Linked DNA regions of Caenorhabditis elegans. The protein of the gene in region 3 interacts with the protein of the main gene of each other region in a pairwise test. Each region holds a gene or a part of one and is shown on either strand. Other genes may lie near its edges.

Evidence for each region.
Region 1: the proteins of rad-54.L (region 3) and npp-11 interact in a two-hybrid assay, tested with the Caenorhabditis elegans proteins (one large-scale study listed by BioGRID).
Region 2: the proteins of rad-54.L (region 3) and gmap-1 interact in a two-hybrid assay, tested with the Caenorhabditis elegans proteins (one large-scale study listed by BioGRID).

What each region holds. Positions count from the first base shown.
Region 1 is NC_003279.8:3,814,775-3,821,996, forward strand, and holds npp-11 (Nsp1_C domain-containing protein), read left to right. Parts: upstream 1-3,299; 5' UTR 3,300-3,304; coding exon 3,305-3,416; intron 3,417-3,463; coding exon 3,464-3,556; intron 3,557-3,627; coding exon 3,628-5,107; intron 5,108-5,157; coding exon 5,158-5,628; intron 5,629-6,233; coding exon 6,234-6,421; intron 6,422-6,476; coding exon 6,477-6,550; 3' UTR 6,551-6,722; downstream 6,723-7,222. Other genes in the region: E3 ubiquitin-protein ligase ubr-1, read right to left, coding at 5-646, 706-997, 1,055-1,357, 1,564-1,814, 1,869-2,022.
Region 2 is NC_003284.9:12,931,705-12,938,483, reverse strand, and holds gmap-1 (GM2 Activator Protein family member), read left to right. Parts: upstream 1-3,505; 5' UTR 3,506-3,588; coding exon 3,589-3,700; intron 3,701-4,843; coding exon 4,844-4,965; intron 4,966-5,014; coding exon 5,015-5,142; intron 5,143-5,539; coding exon 5,540-5,633; intron 5,634-5,683; coding exon 5,684-5,974; 3' UTR 5,975-6,279; downstream 6,280-6,779. Other genes in the region: C34E7.3 (uncharacterized protein), read right to left, coding at 6,459-6,554, 6,603-6,779.
Region 3 is NC_003279.8:9,061,469-9,072,037, forward strand, and holds rad-54.L (DNA repair and recombination protein RAD54-like), read left to right. Parts: upstream 1-3,610; 5' UTR 3,611-3,618; coding exon 3,619-3,722; intron 3,723-4,136; coding exon 4,137-4,215; intron 4,216-4,288; coding exon 4,289-4,532; intron 4,533-4,575; coding exon 4,576-4,715; intron 4,716-4,814; coding exon 4,815-5,160; intron 5,161-5,233; coding exon 5,234-5,358; intron 5,359-5,403; coding exon 5,404-5,522; intron 5,523-5,566; coding exon 5,567-5,644; intron 5,645-5,691; coding exon 5,692-5,818; intron 5,819-5,866; coding exon 5,867-5,974; intron 5,975-6,019; coding exon 6,020-6,128; intron 6,129-6,439; coding exon 6,440-6,606; intron 6,607-6,996; coding exon 6,997-7,338; intron 7,339-7,765; coding exon 7,766-7,863; intron 7,864-7,984; coding exon 7,985-8,096; intron 8,097-8,139; coding exon 8,140-8,214; intron 8,215-8,505; coding exon 8,506-8,589; 3' UTR 8,590-8,796; downstream 8,797-10,569. Other genes in the region: prmt-7 (Protein arginine N-methyltransferase 7), read right to left, coding at 1-70, 262-373, 424-551, 598-887, 939-1,322, 1,375-1,499, 1,591-1,679; snx-3 (Sorting nexin-3), read right to left, coding at 2,266-2,371, 2,460-2,680, 2,727-2,792, 2,835-2,930; rsbp-1 (Abi_C domain-containing protein), read right to left, coding at 10,210-10,293.

The DNA.
Region 1 (7,222 bases), 5.2 Mb from region 3:
TCACACTTCACAAATTTATCAGTCTGATCCCGAATCGCTTTCGATATCACACTGAATGCTTGATCTTCGGCGACAAGTTTCCGAGCCAGACTAGGAACAGTCATGAATTGAACTGATAACCCAACAACTGAAACATCCATCTCATGATCATCTTTAATGAAATCCTCGTAAATTTCATTATAATGTAGCATAAAAGCCTTTGCAAATCGAACTTTCTGATCATAAATCATGAAAACTGTCCGCATGAGCATTTGATGCAAAATCGATCTTCCAGCTTTCCACATTTGTGTATCCTGGAGAAGAATATTCTCTAGCATTGTGAATGTTGAAGAATCTCGTGAAGGACCTGGAGATTCTTGATGTTCTGAAACTCCTGCCAACGCTGCTGTTATCTCTTCTTCATCATCCGCGTCAATTTCCATTTGCAGAGCTTCTCCACCAATATCGTCGTCATCCATTTCATCAACATCCATTCTTCCATCAAGTGCGAATAGTTCTTCCTCTTCATCATCCGGCAAAACCATAACATTTCTGATAATTCCGGCAACTAGACGTTGATCCTCTGACTTCATTTTCCGCGTGTAATTCTTTTTCAGTGCAAACTTTGAACTCAGCAGAATTTCTCCAACAATTTCGCGAAGGGGAGCTGAAAATAAAAACACGATTTCGAATAATGAAAAGAAATAAAAAGAAATAAAAACTAACGAAAAACATCCATCTGTGTGTTGAGCCAAGTAAGAAGGGAGATCGAAAAATTCTGAAGCGCGAAAAGCGTGGTATCCATAACCTTAACACTTAACGGTAGATTATGATTCGATGATCTTCGAATTGACGTTGGATCTCGAGCTGTTTTTCTCTGAACATCATCCTTAGCTTTGGTGCAATCAGCCTTACTGCCAAGTTTCACAGCACTTCGACCTTCTCGATCGACAATTGTGGCTACAAGCATCGCCTGATCCTTTGTACAATGTATGTACAATTCCAGAACTTTGATCACCTGGAAAAAACGGGGAAATTGAAGATTTAATTGAAATTCGGAATATTAATTACTAACAGATTCATAAGTGTGAGTTTCATCATTGTAAAGAACCGTCAAATATTGCTGTGCCTCATTTGTAACCTCTGGCTTCATTTTCTCGAAAATTTCGGGAAGTTTGAGATCATCTTTATGAGTGATCATTGAAAGGGAAAACTGTAAAATGATTTCCACCAGCTGTTCACATCGTTTTTTCAATTCTGGAGCCAACACTGCCGCCTCTTCATCGTCCTTTTTCTCGTGATTTGCACATGCGTAACCTTCTGTCCATGCATCTGCATCACCACAGTCACAATATCCCGAACCGGAGGAAGAGTGCATCTGGAAATTTTTTTTCAATTATAAATTGGATTTACTTAAATATGCGTGTTTTATCATTCATATTCGCTCAAAATAATCAAAAACTTTTCAAGATTTTGTCTATGTTGGTTTAAAATTTCGAGAAAAAGGGCAAGTTTCGGCTAAAATCTGAATGTTTTTTTTCAGAAATTTTCTGTGGAAATTGATTCATTTTGAGGCATCCTCACTTTGTATTTATGAGATTTATGAATTGAAACTTCAAAACACTGAAGACACATGACACATGTCCCATCAGTGGCACAATCCAGACATGTATACGTAAGTTCTCCGTTTTTAAATACATGGCCACAAATTTGTCCCCGTCTTGCAGGATCAACTCCGGCAATGCCATTCATTGCTTCCAGTGTGCTCTTTGTGTTCCGAACGTCTAGTACAAATGCACTGACCAGTGGGGCTAGGAGAATCTCTCCTTGGGAACCTGAAGCAAAATTGGCTTTTTAATATATATGTTTTTTTTTTCAAAAAAACCCACCTAGAATTCGTTCATTCGCGGCTGTATTGTCCCATGGCAAATCCGAATTCACTTCGAACACCTCTGGGACCTGTACAAGCCAGTGCTTGAGCAGCAGCTGGCGTACTTGGGCCCATTCACCCTGTCGAGCTGATTGTATTAAATCGACAATCATTCCATTAGTCGAACTGAAATCGGTAGCTTGATAAAATAGGAGCATTTCATCTAAGAAAAAGAGGATTCGTAAAAGAAAATAAAATATATTGATTATTTTCCGACCCCCCGATTATGCTGCTGATGACCATATCAAAATAAGCGAACGAGAGGACAAAAAGCAGTGATGGGAGGCAAAAATGATGACAGTGGACACTAGGAGAAAGTGAAGGAGATGAGAGAGAACGGGAGGATATAGATTTGCTTCTCTCTCTCTCTGTTTTCGATGCGAGAGTGTTGCCGCAGATAAAGAGCTCTCACGGACTCGGTGCAATGCATCGTGGATTAAATAATTCAACAATGAGGAAATTGAACTATTAAAAATATTGATTATTTTTACGTGTCAGCGAATTCACTGGCGAAGCAATAAAAAAAAACTTTTTTTTAAAATCAGACTTTAGAGCACGTGGACTTTGAATGTTTCACTCATATAACGTCAAAATAATTTAAAACTATATTTTAATAAAAGTTATTTGACTTTAAAAGCAATAAAATATACTTTTTCACCGAAAAAATAACTGATTTCGCGAAAAAAAACAATCTAAAAAAATAAAAATAAAACCCTTGGGAAGTGGATCGTGGCGAGACCCTGAAGGTGAGGCATGCGCCTTTAAGTGTTCGGACTACGGTACACAAATTTCTCTTTTTGTTTTCAATTTCCTAATTTGCGTGGATCGCTGAGAGTTGTTAGATTTTTGAGTTTGTATATAGTTTTCTTTTTTATTTTCATCAAAAATTAAAGTATTTCTTCGTGAAAAGTACTTGGTCAGCAGGAAAAAAAGGTTCTCCCGCGTTTTTACCCCTTTGTGATAGAAAACTTTGCATATTCAGAAGCTTGCTCATCGTTTCGATGATCGAGATCTTTCTTCACATTTCATAACTTTTTTAAAATATCAGTATAAAAAATGGATCAATATTATAAGTTGTAATCGAGAAGTTAGAATAGCAATAGAAACCACAAAGACATTCGGGCCCAAAAATATTTATATTTTCAAACTAACTGCAGCACATGAAATTATCTTCGATTTTTCTCCTTCACGCCGACGTCGCGTGCTCCTCCCAGCCGCCGGCCTAGTCTGCGGTGTTTTTAGGCCATCATTTTCGCGCGACCACCAAATCATTTTTCGAATCTCGACGCGCTCATTTGTGCACTCAAATGACTATTTTCTGCCTCTCTGTCGTTTTCTTTTTGTCAAATAATATTGCTGCCCTTTAAAAATATTAAAAATATCATTCCAGATCAAATGTTTGGAGGATCTGCACCAAAACCGTCGATTTTCGGAGGAACCGCTGCTACCACAACAGCCTCATCTGGATTTTCTTTCGGTAATTCGAGCACATCAACAGCGAACACAGGTATCGATCGATGAAAAATTCAACTAATTTATTTTTTTCGTTTTTAGGCGGAAACACGAATACTACCGGAGGTTTTTCTTTTGGATCCGCACAGCCGAGCACTGGAAGTACTGGACTTTTCGGAAACAGCACAGCTACTGGTAGGTTTTTGGTTTAATAAACTTGTAAAATACGCTCCCGTATTCAAAAAGTATAATTTTAAATTTTTCAGGCTCAATGTTTGGAGGCTCCTCTGCTGCAGCTCCAGCCCCAGCGTCTGCTGGAATCTTTGGAAATTCTGGTGCCGCGGCGCCAGCTCCCGCTTCAACGAGCATTTTTGGAAGTTCTGCAAATTCAGCAGCACCTGCTACAGTAACGTTTGGCGCAAGCGCACCATCAGCTGGTGCTGGCATGTTCGGAGCTAATAAACCAGCTGCTCCAACTGGCGGCTTGTTCGGATCATCCACAAGTACCGCAACAACTGCACCAACTGGCGGGCTTTTCGGTAGCTCAACTGCTGCGCCATCAAGTGGATTATTCGGATCCACGGCCGCTCCAGCAGCACCAGGAGGACTATTTGGAAGCACTTCCACCTCTACAGCGGCTCCATCCGGCGGCTTATTCGGATCTTCAGCTGCTCCAACTTCCACAGCCCCAGCTCCTTCTGGTGGTTTGTTCGGGGCTGCACCAGCTACTAGCAATGCTGCTCCAACCTCTGGATTATTCGGAAATTCAGCACCTGCTGCGACAGCTTCATCTGGTGGACTATTCGGCGCAGCTCCAAAGCCTGCAGCTCCATCGGGAGGTCTTTTTGGTTCTACCGCTCCTGCAACCACCGCTGCAACTACAACTGCCACATCAGGATTGTTCGGAGCACCAACATCTGCTCCTTCGTCCGCTCCAGCCACTGGTGGTCTTTTCGGAGCCTCTACTGCTCCCGCCGCTGCTACTGGAGGTCTTTTCAGCATTGGTGCTGCTTCAGCATCCACTCCATCTGTTGGATTGTTCGGTAATTCTAGTGCTTCTACAACCGCTGCGGCAGCCCCTGCCACCGCCCCAGCGGCAGCTTCAACTGGAGGATTGTTCGGAGCCACCACCGCCGCAGCCGCAGCACCAACCTCATCTACAACTGGGGGATTATTCGGATCTACCGCCGCTGCTCCGGCCGCTTCACTTCCAACCGGAGGTCTCTTCGGATCGTCAACTCCTGCTAAGACCCCAGCCGCACCAACAGCAGGACTCTTTGGAGCATCATCGACAACCACCACATCAGCTCCAGCTACTGGATCTTTGTTCGGAACAGCTCCAGCAACCACAACAGCTACTAGTGCAGCTCCAGCGGCTTCTACTGGAGGATTGTTCGGTGCTTCATCCACAACTACGCCTGCTTCTACAGCTCCGACTGGTGGATTATTCGGAGCAGCAACCACAACTGCTCCCGCCGCAGCAGCTCCGACTGGTGGCCTGTTCGGGGCTGCGACTACAACTGCACCAGCAACTGTAGGTCCGACCGGTGGATTGTTTGGAGCAGCAACTACAACAACACCTGCTACTGCCGCTACATTGGGACAAACTCCATCTACAGTGTCAGCAACTCCATCTCTTCCAACCACAACCAGCACTACTTCCACTCTTCCAAAGCCAGCAGAAGCTACTCCAACTCTTGGACTTGGCCTAGGGCTCACTTCAACACCATTGGCTAAGGGAACTGGGTACATTTTGGTTTACTTTTTAAAAATATAAAAAAAACTCTTAATTTCAGATGGACAACATCAGGACTTAAAGGAGCTGCAACTACATCTGCAGGCCTGAAAATTGGTGCAAGTGGAAGCGACACACTTTCTGAAGAAGAAATCAAAGCAGGACTCGGTGGAAATGATACAAAAGCCTTCTTCACCGCCCTTCAAGAAGTTGTCAATAGTTATCATTCGGAAATTGCGAAGCAGGAACGAGTATTCCATAATAAAATGCTCGAGCTTAATGCTTATGACCGTGAGCTCATTACACTCGAGCCAAAAGTTTTAGGATTGTACAATGAGATGGATGATTTGAGTGGAAGCTGCAAGAAACTGCATTTCAACGTCGCCTCCATGACTTCTGTCTTGAACGATATTGAGCAAAATGTTGTTGAGCTAGAGAACAAGCTGAGCCTTCCAGAATGGCATACTCTTGATTACAAATTCCCACTTGATAGCAGATTTGCGTCGAGACATGATGTTCAGAGAGTGCAAATGTACGTCAAAGTTATTGATTTTTAATGGATTAAATTTTTAAGAAATATATTAAATTTAGCTAAAAACTTCAGTTTTCCCAACTTTTTCTTTGTAAAAGCCGATGGAAATTGATTTTTTTTCATATATTGCCCTATTTGGCATGCTTTGGTTGATTATCTCACGCTGTTCCGTTGATTTGGCTCGATTTGCATCCAATTTTCGTAATTTTTGAATAGCTATCGACTTAAAATATGACTAAATTAACGAATTAACGCCAGATAAATAATCAAAATATGCAATAAATCGGGATAATTCGATAAAAACTATATTTCAGCCGCTGCGACAAAGAAAAAGTTGACAAAATTTCGCAAAATCCTGCCATAAAACTATCAGATTTTTTTCTTGTTGAGAGTTTTTGAATATTTAAGCAAAAAAATCCACAGGTTTTTTTTAAAATCATAATAACTAAAACTTTTTGAAAGCATTTTTTTTGTTTTTTGTTCCGAAAATACTTAACACAATGCAATCGACAGTCTTGAAGACGAAAGAAAAAAAGCAAAAAGCGACAGCCCTGGACCTTACTCCCCTTAAAAATCAAAATAATAATTTCAAAAAAAAATTCCAGCGCTCAAATGATGCTCAACGTGGATTCCCAAATGAAATGTGCGGACTTCGATCTCGATCAAATCACCAAGTCACTTAACACAATGCAATCGACAGTTTTGAAGACGAAAACCGAGACCCCGCTGGAGAAAACTGAGCTTATTATGAAGAAGCAGCTGCAGAAGCTGATGGATCTCTCCACTCAACACGGTACTAATTTTAGAGTTTTTAATCAAATTATTAAATGTCAATTTTTATTTTACAGATGCTACTCGTGATAAGCTGAACAAGCTGAAGGATGACCACAATCTGAAAACGAACAACTCGTCGAAGGCCTAGATTCTTACTTTTTATTTATATATTCATTTTTTCTTTAAATTGAAACTCTAATTCTTTAAACCTATACACTTTCACCTGTTTTCTTCATGATCACCACCATCACACTATTTATTTTTTTTGTTATTGTCTGTTTTGTTGTGTGTTTGGTTGAGTTTGTGAATGAACTTGTTTTTAAAAAATATTGATTATATTTTGGTTTTTTTTTTCAAGTGTTTTTTAAAATTACACTGATATATTTTATATTTTCTTGTTTGGAAAATATTTACTTGTGTATTTTAACTCTACATTTTAAAATTAAATTTTAAATATAATTAATTGTTTTATTTCTTCATTTTTTTTTTTTTTTTGGCTTGGAAAATTTTATTTAACTAAAAAAATTAACATTTTAATATGTGGCCCAAGTTATACCCAAGTATTTACCTCTTGCTCTTTAAATTTCAACGAATTTCGTTGAATTTCCCCCATTTGCGGGGGTCACTATTGTTATCAAAAGATCCTTATCATAGTTTTTGATGCTCTAGAAATTTCTAATTGCTTTTCCTTGTGATTTTGAAAACGTTTACAGTGATGTTTCTCTTTTTTGATTTCATCAATTTATCTTGCATCCCTAGGAGCTCCTAGTCAAATGTTAGTATTTTGTGATTTTTGAAAGTACGGTAGCTGCGAGATCGA
Region 2 (6,779 bases), on a different chromosome or scaffold from region 3:
TATTACATTTTTAAATTAGTCAAATATTTTCAGAGCAAGAACCTGTTTTATTATATTATGGGTTACACATTTTATCTTGCGAGCTATACTTAAAAACCGACTGTTAATATAAATGTTCCATGGAGCCTAAAAATGTATGATTTTGTTACAACTCATTGATAACCATAGTGCCGCTCACTATAGAAATGACACAATGGACAAGAAAAGATCAAAATTTATCCAAAAAAGATAGGTTCCACCGAGATTTGAACTCGGGTCGCAGGATTCAAAGTCCTGAGTGCTAACCGCTACACCATGGAACCCGGTGAGCTTCGAGAACTTGCTCCGAAAGAACATTCGGTTAATAGACATGCTGAGTTTGCTAATGCACTTATCGGGAAGGCCCAGTCGCTCAGTTAGCAGTGAGCACATGAGCGGCTACAATGTGCTAAAGAGTGTCTATCGCAGCGATCAACATTTCTAAATGTCAATTCTGATAGCAAAGTTTTATGGATAACAATTCTGTGTTAATGTAGTTTCCATATACCTTTTTTCGGGTTTCAAAAACTTTATCTTTGGTAAACATCTTTTTTCTGTGTGAAACTTAATTAGTGTATTCTGTTGCTACAATTGTTTCTACCCGATTAATTGATAACTACAGTAGCACTTGCAACAGAGTTTGTACAACTAAAAAAACCTCCAGAACAAACCATAAATATATTCAAAAAAGATAGGTTCCACCGAGATTTGAACTCGGGTCGCAGGATTCAAAGTCCTGAGTGCTAACCGCTACACCATGGAACCCAGCGATCTTCAAGAAGTTTCTCCGAGTTGACAATAAGCTAGCTTTTGATGGACATGTTGCGTTTGCTTATGCACTTATCAAGAGCATTGGAGCTTCCTTAAGAGTGAGCAAAAGGGCGGCTAGCTGTTCGGCGCAAACAAAAAGAATGACTGAAGTCTGCAAAACTAATTTCCGAGAGATCACTATTTTTATTAACAAAATTCAATTTTTTGAAGACATTTATTAAAATACTGGGAGTTTGAAACAAATATATTTCAGTACTAATTGCAATACTAACTTTGTAAAGTGCTTGAACTCATGGTAATCAATCTTCAAAATGTATGATTATAAGACCTGCCCTTTGATACCAATGATTCAGTTTACTGTTATTGAGAGTTTCATTTTTATATTATTTTTGGTAAACCCATTATTCTTCTTATTAATCTTTTTCAATTACCACTCATTTGCCATAAAGAGAACAAGACCGCTGACAATCGGCCACCCTGTGGATCTTAATCGGTTTCCCAAAAGAAACAATTATGGATGTTGTTAGATTACAATCGACTGCAGGTAGAAATATTTTATATTTTTCTAATAAGCAGCAAGACTTCAAAAAGAACATTATTTATATGTTTACCTGTTTCCCAGCATGAAATTACTCGTTAAAGGAAGAGTTTCCTGGCAGGGGAATAATGTTTGAAAATATTAAAATTATACTAAAATTGGCAAAAAAAAATCATGATTGCAAATGCTCAAACAGTCATAATACCAAATCTCTGACTAAACTTTTCGGCAAATCGAAAGTTTGATGACGTATTTTTTAAATACAGTAAATCCGTCCGAACTTGAAATATGAATATTCGCTCTTTCAAAAATGTCAAAATTACTTTTTCATCATCTGAAATACACCTTTCAAGATAAAACACAGCGACGTTCGATCTATTGTGATTTGTGCCACTAAGTTTTAAAAAGCAAATCCAAGGTTTTTTTTCAGTTTTCTGCCACTAATATTGGACACAAATTTTAAAAAAAAATCAAGCTGAAATTATGAGCAATTGGTGGCCAAGAATTTTGATTCAGTCAATATTCTACTATTTTTTCTGTACTTATCTACCCTCTAGATATTTAATTTTCAAGTACTTCAGACTTTGAAAAAACAACCAGTTTTGATATTTTCACTTTTTACTTCACTTGAATTGAACAAGAGTTGAATAGTATTAATGTTTTAATGGTAGGTCAGATGTTCTGAAAACCTGAAATAGCAGTTGAGAAAAAGCAATTTCAAATTTCGCATTCAGTATTCACAATGAAACAGTAGTATTGAAAGTACGGCATTCCTTTCTGTTGTGGCCATTTTCTTTGTTCTCGTGTGGTTAGCCATCTTCAATTTGATGCTTTTGAAGAAAATGCGAGACGCCGAAAAAAAGGAAAAAAGCGATGAGTGGAGTAGAATGACGTAGATCGTTGCAATACAAAGAATCGCCAAAAAAAGGAGGCGAATTGATACCAGCTTTCTCGAACTTCTCCTCTCATTGTTCTGTTCCCTCGTTTGGCTTCTGCCTCATTTACTTGTACAGCTTTACACAAAAAAACCATAACAGTGTAAAGCTTATGATCTACCTACTTCTTTGAGCGACTTCAAAATTTGACCCATAAATCACAAATAGTGTAAACCCAAATACAAACGTAAACTAACCCAAACCTATATTTTCAAAGTCAACGTCATTATTAATTGATGCGATAGACTTAGCTAAAGACTCAATTATCTAACGGCTACATCAAGATATAAACATAATGATCATAATTACTCATATTGATAGATGAGCGTAGAGATGATGTCACTGATAAAAAGAGGGCCAGCAGTTGTTTTTGAGGTTTCTGGTTCATTTCTTGGTTTTCTCAATTTTCGTAGTCGATCAAAGCAACACAAAACATAAAACACCAAACTTGCTAAACAGTCAATATATAGAAAAAGAAAAATTGTTTCCACCCGCTGCGACATTGACTAGTAGATCAAATTTCAAATTTTAACAATTTTAGGTCATTTTTTGAGCCGTCATTAGGTTTTTTTTTGAGAAGTTTTTAACAAGTTTCATTATGAAATTCGGTGTTTTCAGACAATTTTGAGACTAATAAAGCAATAATCCAATGTACTGCTTTTAAGAAAGAAGAGTAGGCATTTCAACATTACAAGTATCACTTTAATATTTTTTATTTATGTTTGAAATACATTTCGAATTCGGGTAGGAACTCACAAAAACGATAAATTGGACGGTTGTGTTAAGTGGTAACACAAGAACACTATAGTTTTCTTTTATGTCTATCGTATATCAAATTGGATACAATCAGAAAATTGAGACACTTTTAGTTTCATATGCACAGTAAAGGGAATAAGAGAAAAACGACTGGATAATACATTAATTGTCGAACAAGAGCACTTCTATACACTTCACTATACAAGCAGTTTCTTAGAAAATGCCAAAAGATTAACTCCATTCAAAATGACACTTCCTACATTTTTCACTAAAGTTCAAGAAACCCCAAGTTTCAAAAGGTCAACTATCTCTGTTGTGACGACATAAGTGACAATGGTGTCAGATCACTCTTTTTTCTATTTCAGGGGGTCGCCGTCGTCTTACTCTCCTCACCTTACTCTTGTTTCGTTTTCTCTGAGAGGTGGGGGTCGCGTGCCTAGGTAGGTGTATGGGCAGCCGCCTTTCGCGAAACAAAACTCACTCCGCCCACTGTATTCTATCCTATCACGTCGACGACTTCGACGTCTTCTCCTCCAGTGGCCAGTGTGTCGAGAAACACGACTTGCGTTAATGACGACCCGAAGAATCGTACTGTTGTGTGCCGTTGCCGCGTGCGTCTCAGCCGCCTCCTCGGAGATCTCTGTCCGCATCGAAAGACACTTCCCATGCTCAGCTAGTTCAGGTTTGTTTCAGTTTTTTTTATTTTTTGATGTTGCTTAATTTATAGTGAAATGGTCAAGGAACCACTATCAAGTTTAAAATCCAACTCCAAAATTATGATACGAAACACTTTTTAGTGTCCCCGAATTTTTGAATGTTTGAATATCTGAACTTTGAAATACTAAATAGAAAACATTCATTGGTATTTATTAAATAGGATCATTTTTATTACTGTAGGCTTTGCAAATCACAAGCGCCCCAAAAAACCGTGTTCATTTATGCCATTAGCAATTAATATTATACCATTAGCTATTAAGCGTACGGTTTAAACAAACAAAAACAAATAGTGAAAATGCATCAACGGAAATCTGATATGTTGTTTGGGATAAAGTTTGATTTCAAGCTACAAGTTTAACTATTTTGAGGGTCAAAAATTTTCACGTCGAAATCAACTTGTATACTTTTTGTTTAGCCATTCAAACTCTATGTTTTAGTTCCCTGTTTCAATACAACATAATCAACAAAGGTGAACACTTCAATTTTTCATAAAATCCAGTTTTTTTCCCAATTGACCAATAAAATTAGACACTTGAAATTAGTTCAATAGTCCATTGACTGTCTACTCACGTCATTTTTTCTGCGAACAAAAAAAACGTGTTTTTAATTCAATTGTCCACCTATCCAAAGCTTCTCGAGACATTGCTCTACCCGGCGACCCAATCAGTTGTTTGATTAGGGATATAGAAAAAAAAATTGATCGAACTGCAGCCGACGGCTAGGAAGTGCGTGGCCTTGGAGACGCCATACTGTTGTATCGTCAATGATATCGATAACAGAGTAGAGGGGGTAGGCTATCAGAAAGAAAAACTGACGTCCCGATTTTATTTTATCTCTATTTCCATTATTTCCTGTTTTGTGGAACGCTTCGCCAAATCCCAGGTCGGAAAAGGATGGGGATTTTGCAAAAAAACTGACAAATCTAGCACTGTGTTCGATTTTATAAGTTGATAATAAATCACACAAATGCGAAAGGTCACGTAACTAGTACAATTTCGGAAAATTCAAAAGACTGTATGTATCTCTTTAAAAAAAATTCAATAAATTATGAAGGCTCTCCTAAACATTATTATTTTTTAATTATTGAATTCAATTTTCAATTTTTCAGGTCCAAAGAAAGATTCTTTGCTCATCAAGTTCCCATCATACAAAACCGCCGGAGTTCAATTCCACGAAGAAATTGGAGAGAATGGACACAAATGCTTCAGAATGTCCGGTGGCAAAGTTGAGGTTAGTGATCAGCTCGTTGCAAACCAGAATAAACATTTCATCAATTTAGGTTTATGCCCCAGGACTAAATGGCTCCAAGAAATACTATGTGCATCTTGAGACAAGAATCGGAATCCACGGAAAGCCAGAACGATGCGTAAATGCTGATGCTAATGGGTGTGGAGGAATCGGATCATGGTGAGGGAATAAAGTCGGAACGTGTACCACAAAAACCAGTCAGAGTGAAGATTGCGCTTCAAAGTTTTAAAACTAATTTTTGGGGGTAGTAATCTAAAAATACACACTGAAATCAATCTGAACAAGGTTAACTGAAAGTTCAGAAGGTTGTATTCAGCATAAAACATTATGTAATAAAGACTCTTATGGCTAACCTCGGAAGATATCGGACGTTTTTCAACATCAACTTCGAACTTTTGAATTATGAATCCCTGGTCGGCTTGTTCAACTTACAAGCTTTATTCAAAAAATAAAATATCATATGTAATGATGAGATGAAGTGTGTTGGCAATACAAAATTATTTTTATATTCAAAAAAGTTAAATAGAAATGTCTCATCAAAACCTTTTGATTTCAGTGTTCACTGCGACATCTGTCACACTATGGGAGGATCTCTCAAGAACTTTGTTCAAATCTTCCAAGCCGATAAGCCAGCTCAATGCTCTACCACGGTAATATACAATTTGATTAGAACATATCACGAAAAAAACATATATTGCAGGGACTCTCGGCAGGATCATACAGCGACTTGTCCCTCCGCGTGTGCCTTCCAACCAAAAACGAACTTCTCCCATTCCTCGATCAAAACGCCTCTCGTGCCGAGCAGCTCTGGGATCTCTTTGTCAGCTCCCGTGCTCGTTCCGGTGAGATCCCACTTGTCATTGCCGCCCGTCTTTTCGATAGACCAATCAATAATTTGGATGCCAAGACATTGAACACTATTCTTCACGACTCGAAGGAAGGAATGATCGGATGCCACTGGATCTACGCGACGGTGTCCCAGCCAAACTAATTTCACGATTTCATCAGCTTTTTTGTCATTTTTTCTTTTTTCTTTCATTTCACCAATTCCATCGATTCTGGTTGAGTCGGTGTGTGTCTGTATTTCAGTGGACGACCGGGTAAAACCAACAAAATTTACAGCATTCATTCTTTTTTTTAAATTCTTTTAAACTCTTTTTAACTTCACTTATTTTTTTCTCCCCGAAATCTCGATCAAATGCATGCATCTGTATGAATTCTTTCTTTTTTTCTTTTATTATACATAATCATAAATATGTATTCTACAAATTGAATTGAATAATCGAGATTTTGATGTACAACTTCAAAAAAAAACACATTACAAAAAAGTTGAAAAAAAACAATGTCATAAAAAAAGAACCGGTGGGTGGAGGAATGTACAGGCTTCAATATTGGTAGATGTGAACTGGGCAGACTGAATTGCACAACTGTGAACGACAATGAGATCAATGGAAATGTCAACTGGCGAAAAAAAATTAATTAGCATTCACCGGAGACTTCAAGTCAGTTTCATTGGTTGGCGGAGGACTCGGCGTGATCCGACGTCGTTGGAAGCAGCTTTCAAAGCCCATCTGAATATAATAATACTGAATTTGTTCAGAACAGTGAAATAGTTTTACCTTTGCAACTCTCACAATCCACCAATCTCCATGTTCCATATCCTCTTTCTTCGAACTATTACTATCTTTTCTGATCTTCATCCTAGATCCACCATTTGCCTCTTTTTCCTTTTCTTTCATGCTCTTCTTTCTTTGCTTCTCCACGTCATCGCTCATTTTAGATCCTCTTCTCCATGC
Region 3 (10,569 bases):
CTGTCTTTGCTGCCAAAAGACCTAAGAACGACCCTTCTCCAACTGTTGCCACGTGGAGACCTTTAGATAGCTGAAAATTTGGAGATTAGGAGAAAAAGTATTAGCAGTCGAAAATTGTCAACTGTCACTATTTTTCTAAACGATTGCGTATTTTGATCGAAATGTCTCAAAAATTCCAAATGTTTCTTAACTGGTGATACTCTACTTTCAAATTTTCGTAATTTTTCCAATCTTACTGCTTTAAATAACTTTTATAAATACCTTGTCGACTTCATCTTTGAATTTCTGATTTTCAAACATTTCATTGACATGATAAACTGTTTGACGGCTAAGCATTGAATGTAATCCACATACACAATAGCTTCTGGATTTACTGAAAAAAAGTAGCTGATAGAAATTTGTGTTTCGTGAGTAAATACATACTCTTTCCCAACATTGCTGAACCATAAGCTGAATTCATCATGATTGCATACTATTTCAAATGTTTGATTCATCTCTACTTTCTTTTTTTCTGGAAGATAGTAGACAGCTTGCATCCAGTGATCCCTCCACTGCAATACAACGATTTTTTCGTGCAAATTTAAAAATAAAGATTACTGCATAGTTATTTTTATTCTTCCATTTTGGTCCCATATCAATGAATGTTGTACCATTCCTATCCATATCAATATCCCACCACATAAGTAATGCATCAATAGTTCCAGATGAATGAGCAACTGCTTCACGAACAAAAGACTCATCGAAAATTATTTTCTCTTCGTGTTCGAAATCAAATTTGAAGGCAACGATCGGCTCGGATAGTTCTCGAAATTCGTGGGTTTTCATTTCAGATAGTTGAACATCGAATACAGCCGCAGTTCCAGAACATCTTCCCAGGGGTTCTTCATCTGAAAATTTTCAATTCTCATAAAATCCAAAAAAATGAAGCCTCTCTGAACCTTTTTCTCCATTTAGCCTAGGAATATCATTGAACATTTTTAACAGATGGCTCTCCACAGGAACAATATACACATTTCCAGTTGATGGAACAACTCGACATCCTGGTTTCGCAAGTCTTTCAAGAGCTTCTTTGAATGTTCTCAGAGCTCCTTCTCCAATTAATTCTGTGTCAAATACCTCTGCTACAATGATATCTGCACGTGAACCACCAATTTGTGAAACATCAGTAGATCTCTCAGAAATTACAGTAATCTTATCTGACCATGGACTATTGCTTGTTATATGTCTTGCACAATCTCCCATTGGTTTGAAAACTTCCAATGCAGTCACTTTATCAGCTCCTTCTCGAGCAGCCATTAGTGAAAGAAGTCCAGTTCCAGTACCTGTAAATAGTAAACTTTAAAAACCGAATAAGTTGAAAACTTAACAGCTAACCAATATCTAAAACATGAACTTTCCCATCTGTATTTTCATGTTTTTTCTCAGCAATCGTAGTTTTTAATCCTGCGAGGAACTTGTCATTTCTATCAAAATCCAGAATCATATCTCCAAATCGACTTCTGAAAATTAACGTTTTAAAGCAAGAAAATGCGAGAAGTATTGTTTATTAAATTTTATTTCTATGCGGAATATTTTTTTAAAGTTGAAAACCTGGCAAGTTCCTGAGCCATATCATAATCCTCTTCAGCCACAACCCATTCTCGTTCGCCGGTTTTTTGATTTATCTTCTCAAGGAACATTTTTCAGAAAACCCTGCAAATTGTCTATCTTAAAGATATGCTCGTTTTAATGATACACTCAAGATATTTGCGATATGCACACAACTGCCAATTTACCACTTTAAAATCCAAAGAAACGAAATCAAGGAACGGAAGACTTATTTTTCATATTTGTTCAAATAAAAGGGGTTCATGCAATAAAAATAGTGCAATCAATTGGGAAATTGGGAAACTATACACAAAAATGTAAAAATAAATATGAAATAAACAGGAGCCAGAAAATGGAAATCAATGGGAAAGAAGTGGTGATGGGGACAAAGTACACAATTTCGAAAAATACCGCATTTTGGTGGAGGGATGGAAACAATATTTTGATGGGCCGAGATTAAATTGGAAAAAAGCTTCTAAAAACTCACTTTTTGAAAACTAAATATCTCAAAAGATCAGAAAGCGTTACTCATTTTTTGTTATGTAAAAATATGATAAGAAAACATTATCATTTTTTAAAAGTTTCCTTCTGTTTATTGAAACAGACAGCGTTAAAACTATAACTCTGGGTATTTTGAGATTTTTCTCGTGAGCGGAGAATTTAGAAACATTTTAAAATTTAAGCGGTACGAATTTTGCCAGGCACGTAGTTTTTGTCAATAGTTGGCTCCTGGAGGAAAATATGGAGAGAGCGTTCGTTTTGAGCAAGTGGATGTCCAGCAACCCTGCAAGAACATATTATTAAAACTTTTAGAAATGTGAAAATTTTCTGAGTTCATTTTGATGTCCGTATAGTTGAACAGTTTTACGTACTTATTGATGAATAACTCGAGAGCTTTGCGCCTATTTTCAATGAATTCCTCTTCAAAAATTCCATCATCGGATCGGAATGGCAGTTGCCGTTTGAATGATTTTCCTGGCAACGTTGGAACCACAATCTTGCTATCTCGCTCTAGTTCAGCACGAACCCATTCGAAATCACTGTATCGGCGACGCACGCTTGATTCTTTCTGCTTGAAAACGGGGAGATTCGACTGAAACAACGATTTTATTATGCGGTCAGTGTTAATCTATACTTACTCTCATTCTGATTTCGTAATCCGTGTAGCGCATTTTTCCAACACCATGAGTGATAGGATTGATAACCTGCAAGTTATCTTGATCTAATTCATTGATTTTTATTCAAACCTCAATTTCAAGGAAGTTGGCCGGCGGGGCATATGCCTCGTCCAGCGTTTGCCGTTTTGAAGGGATCCGCTGAGTTGCCGACGCGCCGGATGCCATTTGCACTGCAAATATTCTAAATTATATCAAAGTTGCTTTGAATTGTTTATTTAAGTATCGATTTTCACAATATAAACAAAATAAAAGTGAAATTTATGTTGGAATCCAAAGCTTTAATCGACAACATGCGAGAACATCGTTTGCTTTTTGTTTCGCTGTTCGGCAAACTAAAATGGAAAAAATAATATGAAGCTGTGAAAAATCAATAAATAAAACTGGAATTTCAAGGAAATTACGGCAAAAATGACTCATCGCGCGCCGATAAACAAAACGAATCAAGAAATGAAAAAAGTGGCAAAAGTACGCAAACACTTTTGTGTTAATGCACACAAAAAATTCAACCGTACCTCAAACTGAAATTTCAAAAGCAGACACCGCAGATTCATGGAATGAAAAAGCAGTGACTCGCTATGACTCAAAATTTTAAAAAGATTATAATTGATTCAAAAGCAAAAAAATGTTTCACAACAAATCTATGTTGTAAAATAATTGTTAAATTGAAAATTAATAGCTGACACCGCCCTGTGTCCGTGTTTCGTCTTCTTCGAAACTTTGTTTTCGTTCAAGATGGCGCGGCGCCGTTCTTTTTGAATAAAAAGAGCATTTTAAAAATTTTGTTGAATTTCTGTAAATTCTACTTGTTTATTCAGTTGTTCTGCGAAATTAAAGATTTTCTTAGTTTTCAGGAATGCCAAAAAAAACGTTCGAAAATTTAGAAGATAGTCATGGAAAAGATGTTAATATCCCAGTTGAACTGCCAAAAAGGAAACGAGAAGTTACACCGGAAAATTTGTGAGCTTTTATAAAAAATTCAAATTTTAACACATACCGTATTCCCTCTATTAGTCTTGCATGCAAGACTAATAGAGGAAATACGGTAATAGTCATGCACCCCTATTCTTGCCAGGCCAGCAGTATTTTGTCAAAACTTCAAAATTTTCGCCATTTTTTAGCTAAATTAAATTTTAAACTGTTCAAGTAATTGATAAAACAATAGAAAAGCATGTATTTTGCATGATTTAGACTGTTTCAAGTCAAAATTTTGACGATAAATGGCCAATTTAACAAAGCTATTGGATCTTCGAAAATTAGTCTTGTAGCCTCTAATAGTCTTGCAGTCCCTATTAGTCTTGCACCCCTACGGGTCTATTGAAAATTAGTCTTGCATGCAAGACTAATAGAGGAAATGCGGTATATTATTTTCAGACCTTCCACAAGCTCTACTGCTCCAACACAAAAACGGAAAAGTCTAGGATATTCAGGACGAACGGAGGAACCGAAAAATGTATTAATATTTTTAGTTGCAATGAAATACAATTCGGAACTTAATTGTAATTGTAATTTTTAATGTTTTTCAGATACACAAAACCTTCATTTCCCCTTTTTCTACGTCAGTTTCTCCTTCAAAACAAGGTCTTCGACGACGAAAGAAGGCACTGCCTGCCATAGAACCACCTGTATCTGTAGAAGAAGCAAGTCCATTACGTTTTGTGAATATCGATGTATTCTCTAGACGTATGGCTTCCGAATCATCAGATCACGATGCTATGATTGCGAAGTTGTTGTCGAGAAAGTTTTCAATTCCGATGGAGGGATATATGTGTAAGAAAACATGTAAAAATGTTTATTTTAAACGAGTTTTCAGTATCTGGTCGAAGCCTAGGTCTTGGTGGAAACCGTCGAAAATGTGCTCTATTTGATCCATATCATGAAGGTGCATTGATTCTTTATGCTCCTGAACATCTTAGTGAACACGCACAACTCAAGGAAGATAAGGATCGAAAGGTGAGAATTTTAGCTGCGAGAATCGAAAAAAAAACATGAATAAAAAAAACGACTCAAATATTGCAAAAATATGAATGTCCATTTTATCAAATTTTTCAGGTGCACGTGGTAGCCGATCCGGTTGTTGGAAAAATCCTGCGTCCGCATCAAAGAGATGGTGTTAAATTCATGTGGGATTGTGTGACTGGTATTAATATTCCCGAATTTCATGGATGTATTATGGCTGATGAAATGGGTCTTGGAAAGACACTTCAATGCATTTCTCTACTTTGGACACTTCTACGACAAAGTCCCGATGCGTGTCCAACAGTTTCGAAGAGTATTATCGTTTGTCCAAGTAGTTTGGTGAAAAATTGGGATAAAGAAATCAAAAAGTGGTTGGGAACACGGCTGAATGCGATGCCAGTGGACAGTGGAAAACGAGAACAGATTATTGCTTGTCTCAGTGAGTGAATAAACTTGAAATCTTGAAGAAAATGTTATAAACCCCTGAAATTAAGTTAATTTTCCAACTTCAGATTCATTTATGGCGGATTCAAAAATGCGTTGTGCCATCCCTGTTCTCATTATTTCATATGAAACATTCCGTCTTTATGCGAATATTCTTCATTCTGGAGATGTCGGAATCGTTATTTGTGACGAGGTAGATACTGTATTGTTTTGACTCTATTTAAAACGAGCTTTTCAGGGACATCGACTCAAAAACAGCGAGAATCTGACGTATCAGGCGTTGAGTGGTCTCAAATGTGCTCGAAGAGTCCTGATTTCGGGTACACCTATTCAAAATGACTTGTTAGAGTATTTTAGGTACTATTTGTTCAAAATATTCAATTATTTTTAATTAACTTCAGTTTGGTCAATTTCGTGAATCCCGGACTTTTGGGTACTGCAAGTGAGTTCAGGAAGAAGTTCGAGAATGCTATTCTAAAGTTAGTTATTTTTATTCCCAATTTTTTTAATCCGTGATCTTTTCTAGAGGTCGCGACGCCGACGCAAGTTCAGAAGATCAGAAGAAAGGTGAAGAGAAAACGAAGGAAATGATTTCACTTGTAGAGAAATGCATTATTCGAAGAACATCAGCTCTTTTAACAAAATATCTTCCGGTATGATATGAAAGTTTCTGATTTCTAAATAAAATTATTTAATTTCAGGTTAAATATGAGCACATCATCTGCTGTAAAAACTCAACACTTCAAGAGACACTCTACAATAAACTTATCGAATGTGAAAAACAAAACCGCATTGTCGAAAAGGACAAGGTATTTTGTTTGAAAATTCAAAAAATACAAATAAATTGTTTTTAGGGTGCCACCGCATCTGCTCTTTCGTTTATCACTCATCTCAAAAAGCTTTGCAATCATCCATATTTGGTTTATGATGAGTTTCAAAAACCTGATAATAGGTTCAGAAACAGTGAGTTTAGAATTTCAGATTTATAAAAATGTATTCAAAATCAAGAAAAAATCGGAGCATTTAAAATCGGAAAAAAAAGTTCAAAATTTAACTATAAATTTCAATGTTTCGTAAAGCTTTGTTTATGCTGATGAAAAAAAAAAGAAAACGTATAATATTCTTCAGAAAAAACCAAAATTTTAAGATATTTTTCGAAAATTCAAAAAAATTTTTAATATCGGAAAAACAAAAAAAAGGTTTCGATTTACGATTTTAGTGAAAAATCGAAAAACCGACACCGTTTTTCACAAACTTCTGAAAATAATTTTCAGAATGTCTATCCATATTCCCTGAATCATTTAACCCGAAATCATTTGATCCATCGTTTTCTGGAAAAATGAAAGTTCTCGATTATATTCTCGCAGTCACTCGCAAAACAACTGATGACAAGTTTGTTCTCGTATCAAACTACACACAGACAATTGATCAATTTATGGAGGTAAGCGAATTTCCAAAAAAAAAATGATTTATGATAAAAATCTAGACCGACTTAAATGTGGAGTTCGCTTCAAAAAATCATAAATAGTCTCAAATTCAGAAAATTCACAACGGAGAAAACGAAAAAAAAAGTCAACTTTAAAAAATCAATTTTCCATGTTCGGCTAAATGTTCTGTTTGAATTTCCTTCAAAATGAGAAGCCCACTTTCCAAAAAAACAAGGAATTTAAAATGTCGATTTGTTTTTTTTTTCGCGATTTGTTTGCTTTCTTTTGTGGGTTTTTTGGAATGTATGACTATTTTGGATTTTTTGAAGCAAATTCACCACCTTTAAAATCTAGACCGACTTATAACGTGGTCACTTAAACTTTGAAACTTCTTCACTTTTCAGCTGTGCAAACTTCGTGGCTATGATTTCGTGCGCCTTGATGGTTCAATGTCAATCAAACAACGTTCCAAGATTGTCGATACATTCAATGATCCAGCCAGCACTATCTTCTGTTTCCTTCTTTCTTCGAAAGCTGGTGGATGTGGTCTAAATCTTATTGGAGCCAATCGATTAGTTATGTTTGATCCGGATTGGAATCCAGCGAATGACGATCAAGCAATGGCGAGAGTTTGGAGAGATGGACAGAAGAAAATGTGTTTCATCTATAGACTTTTAGCAACTGGATCAATTGAAGAGAAAATGTTTCAACGTCAGACACATAAAAAAGCATTGTCATCGTGTGTGGTAAGATTTCCTCTTGTTCATATAATCTAAAAATGTTCTAAAGACTACTAGAACTAAAATGTTAAATTTTGCGATTTTGTCAAAAAATTCGGTTCCCCGCTTCGACTTTTCTCAAATGCAAATGAGTGTGCGCCTTTCAGGAGTACTGTAGTTCTCAATTCCTCGTTATCGTGAAACTTTTTTTTAATTTTTTGCTATTTCTTTTTCGCCTTTTCAAATACTGTATTACATGTATCTTAATTTGCTGAAAATTCTGAAAAAAAACCTAGAACCACGGTACTCTTTAAAGGCGCTCGCCATTTTTAATTGAAAAATTGGTCGTGTCGAGACGCGGTAACTAACTTAATTTTAGAGTGAAAATTGCAGATTATTATGTGGTTATTATTATCAGTATCTGGGTATTTAATAGTTATCTTAAAAATTTCAGGTTGATGCGGGTGAAGACGTAGCTCGTCATTTTAGTTCCGAGCAACTTCGAGAACTCTTCAAGTTGGAATCAACAGTGGCATCGGATACACATGAAAAGTAAGTATCAGAATGAAAATAATATTTTTTATAAAACCGATTTTATTTTTGGTGAATTTTTCTTCTGATAGTTATAATAATGTTATGCATTATAATGTACAATTGTATAAATTTCTTTCAGATTAAAATGTAAAAGATGTATTCAAGGAGTTGAAAGTGTTGATCCACCAACCAATGCGGACTGTGCAAGTGATTTATCGAATTGGTTTCATTCTCAGAAATCAGCTAGAAAAGTTTGTATTTATTATCTTTATTTTTAAATATTTTAATTTTCAGGTGGCTGATAATGTGCTCCGAGCCGTCTTCGAATGTGGATCGATCTCCTTTGTTTTTCATCAGAAATCGCACAACGTAGGTTTAAAAAAACTACGTCTATGGTGCCAAAATTACCAAATATAATAGTAAAATGTTTCAAAAAAAAGTGGAAATCAAAAAGTGACAATTGCTCAGTTTTTGTCACTCAAAATTTTGGAAGTCGACTAAAACAATTTTCCAAAACCGACTGGATTTTTTTTTTGGAAATTCTTTCGAATTCTAGTTGTGTAGTTTATTTTTCTAATTCTGTAATTTTTAAATTGTCTGTGATATATAATTTAGAATCATTGAATTAATATTTCCATGCTTCAAAATAGCGTTTTGCAGGTTGAAGTCAAGAAAGTTCAGGAAAAAGTTGAAGAAGTTGATGAGGACTACGTGCCTTCTGAAGCCGAAGAAAACGACGATTAGTTAAATGTTTCCAAGTTGAAACAAATCTAGAAGTCTCCCTATTTCATAACATAGACTATCTATGCGATGAAAACGGGACATGTTATATTGTTTTGTTATTTATTTAATTTGTTTCTTTCAATTTTTGTTCCAAGTCATCCCAATATCATTTTTATCGCCCGATCTCATGTAAAATACACCGCCTGCAATATGAATTTTCAATTTATTTTTCAAATTCAGACAAAAAAAAGACAAACTTTGATCAAATTGTGGGTGGGTTGGAAACGAAAGGGGTAGTTGGTAGTTTTTTTTTGCACAAAAATACATTGATACGATGTACAAATTTTCAGAAAAAAAATTCATGAAAAATGTTGAGAAAGAGGAAAAAATTATGCAAAAAAAGACATTATTTTGTAATTTGAGGGAAGAAATTATGCCTATTATTATAATAAAAACTTTAAATTTTCCGGGAAAGGTCAGGCGCCAACAGGTATGAAATGAATATATTATATTTTTTGAGCTTTGATGATGTAAATAAAACGGAAATGTTGATTATCGATCGATTTTTTTTTCAAATTTGAAAAATCAAAATCGACAATCTTCGACTTAGACAATAAATATGCAAAATGTCGCAAAAAATTCAATTTTTTGGGGGAATATTTTGGTCAGAATCAGTTCACTTTTTACAGGTTTGAGTTAACCTATTTGAGGTAATTGACTAGAAGAAATTTTTTTAAAAATATGGAAAAGTTACAAAACTACTAGGCGATTTTACAACTATTTAAATTTAAAATTTGAAGAAAACACTTTTTTGTGGCTTTAAGAATGGAAGACACCAGATGGAGATGAAGCCAAGCAATGTCTGCACCTGTAAAATGTTTGGGTTACTGTAAGGTTACTGTAGCTATGAAGTTCTACATTTTTAAGGTGGTGTAGAGTAAATGGAAAGTTCGCTTTTAAAATATCCAGAAGAAAATCAGTACAAATGAAAAATACCTAACTCTAAAAATTGGGAATGAATTTCCTCCAATAGGAAACGCCACGCCCACTTCTAATTTCATTAGTGCAAAAGTGGGCGGGGCGATTCGCTGATTGGTCTTGCAGTTCTTATTTTTCGAGGAAGTTTCAAGATATTTTTTTTTTTAATCATAATTTGAAAATCGAGTAAATTTTTTTTTGTTTTTGTTTTTTTACTTTTTGGAAATTCAGACTAGTTTGGGTATTTTAAAGAAAAATTCCCACAATACTACACCTCAAAAGCAATTTAATTTTTTAAAAAGATTATTAAACGCTATTAGCGTACACTAGATTGTTCAAAAATTAATTTTCTGAAAAAATATTATTTTCCAATGCATTGGGAAGAAGACTCGTAATTTTTACTCAATTTTTCCTTTAAAATTTTTTGAAAAAAATTTCATTACAACTCATTTTCAATAATTTAAGTTCACAGACGTTATTTAATTTTTTGCATAACATTTTTTAAATTTATTTCTCTAAAGAATTCAGATCAAAACTTCAAATACTTACCTATAAGAAAGAAACATTGGCGTAGAGAAAAACGTGAAGAAAACCGAAAGAAAAGTGGGCGGGGCTTGTTGATCCGTTTTGATAATTGTGAAATTCGAGCTCATTATTCATTTTTCATGCATAACTCGTTTTCAATTTTGAACATACGCACTGCGGTCGACACGATGTGGCTCTCCTTCTTCGTGGTGTTACTTGCAACTGAAATATTTAACATTATTTAGGGCAACGTTGAACTTTTTGCCGAAGAGTTGTGAAATATATTATTTTGTATTTGAAAGTGCCAGTGGGGATTTCGTCAAAATATACTCGGAATGAATTAACAAGAGAAATATCTTAAGTAAAATGATTTAGAATTTTCGAAACATTTATTCATAGTTTTGGTAAATTGCCAAACTTTTTGAAAACTTGAAAACTTTGAAATTTAAAAATAAAGTCAATCAAGTTAGAACCTCTAAAATTTTCAAATATAAATAG